Linked DNA regions of Nothobranchius furzeri. Each later gene encodes a partner of the first gene's protein in a complex. Links are inferred from orthologs where the notes say so. Each region holds a gene or a part of one and is shown in the gene's direction. Other genes may lie near its edges.

Region 1 (3,653 bases):
CACGGTCTTCAGTCACAAATCGGATTTTGTTTCGGATCAGCAAATCTCTTTATGTTGTAGAACACTTGTGCAACATTTTTTTGCACAATATGTAACTTTCTATAGGTCTTATAGATCGCTGATTAAATAACAAAATGGCTTGAAATAGGACAGCTCACTCACTGCGTGTCCAGGAATAAATCTCCTTAGCTTTCTGAAGCGTTTGTTTTTTTTTTCCTCTTTTACAGATTTTTCCCCACAAATAATTCAGGTCCCACCACATTAATGTAATAACTGTCTGAGCATTTTATGCGCACCAACTCCCTCCCTCCTTTCACAGCGATCGGAGGTCGGTGTAAGCGGACATTTCTGGACAAAGATCCAGAGGCTGGTAGATTTTTTTTAAAGATCCAGTAAACAGAATGCTATGAAAAGCTCTTTTGCTCTGGTAAAAACTTAGAATACAAGTTAGAAAATAAACTTAAAAGAAAAACATGAAAACAATACCAGAAGCCGTTCTGGGATGTAGCACCTACGACGCAGCTCTAAATGGTTTTAGTCTAGGTCACACCCTTCTGCATCTAATCAAAACAGCATTGTAACACAATGGGACATAATGACTTCAACAACTGCTCAGGGGGTGGGGTGTTCATAGGTAGTATCTGCTCGTTAAACAACAATAGACAGCTACAGTTTATACGCTTGACCCTTCCATATTCCAGTCAGAACTGACCAAGCTCCTCGGATGAGAAGTGAAGCTGCTGAATACTGGTGTAATGTGTGCTTATGTAGGAGGCAGAGAAGATGGTGGCGTCGCTGCAGGACACCTCCTTGGAGGAGGAGTGTTTCACCCAGGCTCTGCAGCAACAGGAGAGCAGGAACACAGCCGCTGCTCTGCCACTCACCCACGAGGCGGCCATGAAGTGGTTCTACAAAGACCCTCAGGGGGAGATCCAGGGTACGCCTGATTCCTGAGTGGGGTTAGGGTGATGGTTGGGTCAGAAGTGCTGATGGTTGTCTGTGTTCTGGGTCTGCAGGTCCATTCACCACAGTGGAGATGTGTGAGTGGTTCCAGGCTGGTTATTTCACCATGACCCTGCTGGTGAAGCGGGGCTGCGACGAGGGCTTTCAGCCCCTGGGAGACGTCATCAAGATGTGGGGCCGCGTGCCCTTCGCCCCGGGCCCCTCCCCACCCCCCCTGCTGGTGAGACAACACCCACCGACGCAGCGCCCGCAGCCCAACCGGGGGCCCGCCGGGACTGTGAGTCAGACTTCTGCAGAGCCGCAAGATGGGGAGGTGGACATCAGAGGGGGCATGAGGAGACAGGCTGTAATGAGATATTTACTTCTAATCTACATTCATGTCTTCTGTTGGTTTTACTTATAAATGTCTCTGAAACGCATCACAACCACTTTTGTGTCAGCTGTCGTTCAGTCATGTGACCTCCATGACGTCATTAAGTTTGTTATAATTTGATGACAAAAGCTACATCAAACCAAATTGCTGCAGGTTGGGTTTTACCAAACTGAGGATGTCTTGTGTCCCGTTTCCAGGGAAACCTGGACCAGGAGCGTCTGAAGAAGCAGCAGCAAGAGCTGGCAGCAGCAGCTCTTTATCAGCAGCTCCAACAGCAGCAGCTATTCCAGCTCATCAATAGGTACACACACACACACACACACACACACACCTGTGTAATCCATCAACAAATTACAGCCCACATGCTCCGTGGCACAGATTGCTAGCACACCGGTGCGTCTCAGCTTCAGCAGCTGTTGTCTGCTTTATTAAACTCTCACATTTATTAAACAGTAAAAAGCTCAACTCTGCCACCCTCTGGTGTGAATTGGTAACTTCAGTCTTTTGAAAATATGATCTCAATATTTTCTAAACTAAAAAAAATAGCACAACTGGCTATTGAAGAGTGTAACGTTTATTTTAATTCTGTTGCCTTTTTAATCACACTTGAACTGATGCAGGGTTAGAAATGTAAATGTTTTGATGAAGCATAAAAATGTTTATTATACAAGAAGTTTAGGTAAACTGATCTGTAATAGTTCAAAGGTCCCTTATAGTTTAGAGATTTTTAATGATTCTATAACAGTTTAATTATCACTAAGTGTTTAATATATATTAATTAAAGGACAGAAAGGCCCAAATCTCATTGGTTTCTTGCAAAATGAACCAAATCTGTTTTCTTCTTTCCCTTATTTAATGCATAATAAGAACTTATGGTTTTATACAGTGTTACTGATTAATTAGTACATCTATGAATGAGTTATTAGCCATTTACAAGGTGTGCATTGTTGTAAAGTGGTACCCAGTGGTCACACATCAAACATTTATATGACATTTGCTACAAAAAAAGGTGGTTTGAAGCCTAAACTTACAGGTGATCAAGGTTTATTCTGAAGGTATTAAATGTATCGAGTCATAATAAAAGATCTGAGGTTCTTGGTTATTTTGGCGGGCCACACTGGAGCGTTCCTGGAGTATTTTGGGCTAAAGCTGATTAATAAATGCCCGCTGTACCTATTTTGTCATCATTTTGACCTCGTGATGAACCTGTGACTGTAATGGTCGTTCCCTCTGTGTCCCAGGTGCAGTGAGCAGGGTATAATGCCTTCGATGAACAGGTCGATGTCAGTGCCAGATACAGGGTCCATGTGGGACATGCATACCTCAGCTTCACAGCCGTCAGGTCGGTTCCTCTCAGCATGACCAATCAAACTCCTCAGCAGAACCTAACCATCTCATTGTCTCCATGCAGGCGGTGAAGCCAGTCTTTGGGACTTAACAATGAATCCTTCTACTCAGGGTCCAACTCTTGAACAGCTTCAGAAGGTCAGTTTAGTCCTGATGTTACTTTGCTCTCTGCTGCTGTTTGACTCACGCCGCTGACCTGCTCTCATCAGCTCCAGCAGGAGAGGAGAGACGCTGAACTCAGGGCGAAGCGGGAAGAGGAGGAGCGCAAACGAAGGGAGGAGAAGAGGAGGCAGCAGGAGGAGCAGAAGAGGAGGGAGGAGGAGGAGCTCTTCAGACGCAAACAGGTGGGGCGATTGAAGGAATCTGGAGCGTCTAGTTTTTGTGATGGGAGGAAAGCCCAGCGTGATGGTGTTGTGTGTGCAGTGTCGTCAGCAGCAGGAGCTGATCATGAAGCTGCTGCAGCAGACCCCCCAGCAGCAGGGCCAGGGGGGCGGCGGCTCCAGCTGGAGCAGCGCTTCTTCATCCGGGCTATCAAAGGCAGCAAAGTCCCAGGCTCTGACTCTGCTGGAGATGCAGCAGCAGAGAGCCCAGCAGCAGAGAGTGAGTCCTGACCCCAGTGCATGATGGGATGTTGTAGGTAACTGTAAACAACCTGTCTCTCCTCTTCCAGCACTCCAGCATGTCCATGGGGAGCTCCTCCATGAGCGGGCAGTTGGCCGAGGGTATGGGCATGTGGGGCAGTCCCGGTCTGGAGGGGAAGGCTGGGAGCGGAAGCTCTTCTGGGAGCATGGGGATGTGGGACGAGGCTGTGAAGAGCCAGGCTGGTCTCCGTGGCAACAACAACCTGGGTCTGAAGAACAGCCGCAGCAGCCCGTCTCTCAGGTGTGGACCTGCTTTATGTATGTGTTGTCCTCCTGTCGTCACAGAGACTAAAGGTTGTTTTTCCGCTGCAGCGATCAGTACTTGATGC
Region 2 (3,653 bases), on another chromosome or scaffold:
CCCCAGGGTTCTGTGCAACACTGGTTGGGGGCAAACCCCTGTACGCCAACACACCACCTGGCATATGGATGATACTAAACGAAAGAATGATGTTGGCACTGAATCATGGGGCTCTGGCCCATCCACTTCAAGTGAAGTGCAGGGACCCATAAACACTAATACCGGGCCTGCTTCGAGGACTGACAATGGGAGTAAAAATGATGTGCCTGGTTCTCAGGGAGCTTCTGGTTGGGGTGGGAGCATGGCTGCTACACACATGCCCAGTTCAGGTTGGGGAGAGCCAACCAACAATATTAAACACCCTGTTGGACCTGATGGATGGGGAAACCCTCCATCAGGCGTTCCAACCAACAACATACCCAAGAATGGTAATCAGTCCTGGGGAGAGGAAAAATCTGCTGGTTGGGAAGCTTCTCAAGGCAAGCCAGCATCCCAGGGCTGGGGAGACCAACCCAAATCATCCCACACCTGGGGCAATAATGGTGGAATCAATAACACAGGAGACTGGGAGGAACCAGAAGAGACCAAAAAGAGTTCTGCAAACCCTGATTGGGAAGGAGAATCTGGAAACTGGAAGGAAAATAAACAAGACTGGGGAATGTCTGCTTCAGGACCAGGGATATCTGGAGCTGGAGGAAATGGGGGCTGGGGTGAGTCCGCACCCCAACGTCCTTGTGGTCCCCCCCAAGGTTGGATGAACAAGCCTCAAGATGGACCCAGTAGTAATTGTGGAGGAGGAGCCGTGGGCTCGTGGGGTGGTTCCGGCTCAGTGAAGCAGAGTGGAGGCTCGAGTGGCAGCAAGCAGGAACCCCCAAATGAGCCCACAGGCTGGGAAGAGCCTTCTCCACCTTCAATCCGACGTAAAATGGAGATAGATGATGGGACCTCTGCTTGGGGTGACCCTGGTGCCTACAATAAGGCCGTTAATCTGTGGGATAGAAACAATTCAGGGATGTCCCAGGCGAAAATTACCACTGGGGGCAATAGCCCTCCAGGTTCCAGCAACAACCACCCCCACACTCACAATCACCCTTATCACGGGCTGCCTGCACTTTTACCGAACCATAGCCAAAACACTCCAAACCCATGCCCTGCCACTGGGCCTAGGGATCCTCCAGTGCAACATCAGTCTGGGCAATCTCACATCAGAAGTCCCCTTATAGCTCAAGGTAGGATCATTTAATGATCACATTGTACAGTGCTTGAGTATTAATCAGAGTTCACAGTTTTAAAGGTACATTTCACTGTCATTCAAACTTTAAAGGTGACTTAGATTGTTACTTAAGTTCTTGTTGCTTGTTTCTTCTTTATTGTCCAAAGTGAAGGTGCCAAACGTGGAAGCTGGTTAGGTAGTTAGTACAGCGCACTGTTAAGCTCCAAGCTGTTGATCTACTTAAGTTAAAATCTTGACCTAGTTGCTCTCTTGAGATTTACGTCTAATCAACTCTCTAGATCAGCGACGCAGTGCCAGCTCTTTTCTTTCAAGAGGCTCTCACACGTTTCACAACACTGAATACAACCGTGTGAGGGGGTAACCCTGGCAACCTGACACGGGTACCCAAAAGAAGCACAAAAATGCTGTTTACTGCGTGCCTCGTGAAAATACTGATTTGCCACAAAACAGTTTGAGACAGATCGGAAGTGTGTGATTATATGGGAGCCACCATCTGTCAGTAGTTTAGGGGAGAAGGTGGAGCATGTTCCCAGACAGCCAAAGAGAGCAGATGCCCCCTGCTGTTCTTCATTAGACTCTGCAGTTGCTGCCTGTGATGGACTTGGATGAAACCTCATTAGATGTTTTAGTGAAAAAAAAATGAAGAATTTCTTACTAATGTGAAAATAGCATCTGCTTGTCCTGCTAAGGTTTCTTGAGATGGTTGTAGGTTTCTGGTCTCCCATACCAGAAGGTTGACTGTAACTTTAATTTTGGATCAGCCTTTTGGACTTGACCTTTCCCCGGTGGGAGAGCTAAGCTGAGTCTGGCATTGCTGCAGGCGTAACGGCAGCACCGTGCTTCTCATGCCAAAATAGACTTGCATGTGCCAGAGCTTAAACGGGGACCTCCTCCCTCTACCGACAGTCTGGCTCAGCCAAGCCCACTTTTCTACCTCCCTGCATGGCTGGTGCTTCACTCTCAACCTCGTCGCATTTAACCTTCAGCTCCTATAAATAAGTTTGAAATAAAAAAATCAAGCCAAGGTGAATGAATGGTATTTAAATCATACACACAATAATTAGTTATGACGCTTGGTGTGAGAACGTCTCATAAAAAGGTTAAAACTTCTGCATCAGCTGGACTGACTTAATAAAACCAATTTGCTGTCCTCACTGCTAAAGTTCCCAATCAAGCTGGATTGAAATTAGTTATTTTAGATCGTTTTGCAACATCATAAGTAATTTGCTAAATGCTTCTTTTTCTGGTTTTTGTTTAAAATTTCTGAATAATATTATTACTGCTGCTGTTAAAAATAATAGTAATGATGCAGTTTTGTCACGTAATTTAGCATTCTGCAGTAAGATCATTTTAAAATGTGAGGAGAGTTTATCAGAGCGGCTGCAACACGTGATTATTATAGAACATTACTAATCTTAACAGGATGAGCCAAAAGGCCTTTACTATAAATATTTTGACATAATTCTAAAAATCTTGAAAGCCCTTAGGTAGGGGTAGGGTGATGTATCGGTCCGCCGATATTTACCGTATTATTTATATTTTTTATATAAATTGGTATCGGCCAATATTAGTCCTAAATAAAGCCGATTTAAATTCAGGCGCATCCTCGAGCAACCCGGTTCTGTTACAGAATTCAATTCACAAAAACATCTGCACAATAAATACTTTAAATTAATTCTATTTGTCTGATTTTAACACTGAGCGGTGCAAAAAGTTAAGATTTAACGATTGGTTGAATTTAGAGTTCAAAAAACGGATCCAGCTTCAGAAACTTTGTTATTAGTGAGATTTTAGCATGAAAATAAGAAGGATATCGGCCATGAAAATCGGCAGTACATATCTGCCATCAGCTTACCGTGTCTCCTACATATCAGTATCGGCAATAGATCGGTCGACCTCTATCATTAAGTTTGCTATACCTGGTTAGAAAAACCAAATATGGGGGGAAAGAGACCATGGATACCGTTAACCTATCGTGTTTCCTAGACACTCGTCCTGATCTCGTGGGACGTTTTTGTTTTTCACACTGCTGTCCTTGCGTGCCCTCCAGGTTGGGGCGAGCTACCCAGCTCCCACACTAAATCAGAAAGCTCTTGGGGCGACCCTGCACCCTCTCCAGGCAGCATGGATAATGGCACGTCTGCCTGGGGCAAACCGAGCGGGAGCTCTGGAGGCTGGGGAGACGGCAACCCAGACAGCTACAGCAGGAGCAACCAGACAATGACCACTGCTTCCTGTAAACCCAGTAAGTAAATCCTGGGTTTGCAACGGTGTTAACATGTGAATACTGATGGCATGCTCTAGCTCCGCCGCTGAAGCAAACAGTGTTTTTCTCCTGCTGAGTCAAATCAAGGACAATGTGACAGAAAACCCCATTTTTTTAGCCATAGGTCCACACTGCCCCCTAGTGGCTGCAGCGTTTAATTTAATGTCTGTGCAGCATGTTGGTTTTACTCTGTCCTCGTTGCATATATTTGTC

Evidence for each region. The genes of interacting proteins can lie anywhere in the genome.
Region 2: the proteins of gigyf1a (region 1) and tnrc6c1 are in contact, whole or in part, in a crystal structure (PDB 7RUQ), measured with the Homo sapiens proteins. The link is inferred for Nothobranchius furzeri from reciprocal best matches to the Homo sapiens genes GIGYF1 and TNRC6C. Residues at the interface, in NP_001362694.1 of Homo sapiens: Tyr479, Asp481, Pro482, Gln487, Phe490, Trp498, Tyr503, Phe504, Leu508; in NP_001136112.2 of Homo sapiens: Arg1719, Pro1720, Pro1721, Pro1722, Gly1723, Leu1724, Thr1725.

What each region holds. Positions count from the first base shown.
Region 1 is NC_091742.1:83,832,199-83,835,851, reverse strand, and holds part of gigyf1a (GRB10-interacting GYF protein 1), read left to right. Parts: intron 1-771; coding exon 772-937; intron 938-1,016; coding exon 1,017-1,309; intron 1,310-1,533; coding exon 1,534-1,637; intron 1,638-2,577; coding exon 2,578-2,678; intron 2,679-2,747; coding exon 2,748-2,821; intron 2,822-2,892; coding exon 2,893-3,027; intron 3,028-3,106; coding exon 3,107-3,283; intron 3,284-3,353; coding exon 3,354-3,565; intron 3,566-3,636; coding exon 3,637-3,653. UniProt on the Homo sapiens protein: May act cooperatively with GRB10 to regulate tyrosine kinase receptor signaling. May increase IGF1 receptor phosphorylation under IGF1 stimulation as well as phosphorylation of IRS1 and SHC1.
Region 2 is NC_091752.1:53,971,059-53,974,711, reverse strand, and holds part of tnrc6c1 (trinucleotide repeat-containing gene 6C protein), read left to right. Parts: coding exon 1-1,169; intron 1,170-3,224; coding exon 3,225-3,419; intron 3,420-3,653. UniProt on the Homo sapiens protein: Plays a role in RNA-mediated gene silencing by micro-RNAs (miRNAs). Required for miRNA-dependent translational repression of complementary mRNAs by argonaute family proteins.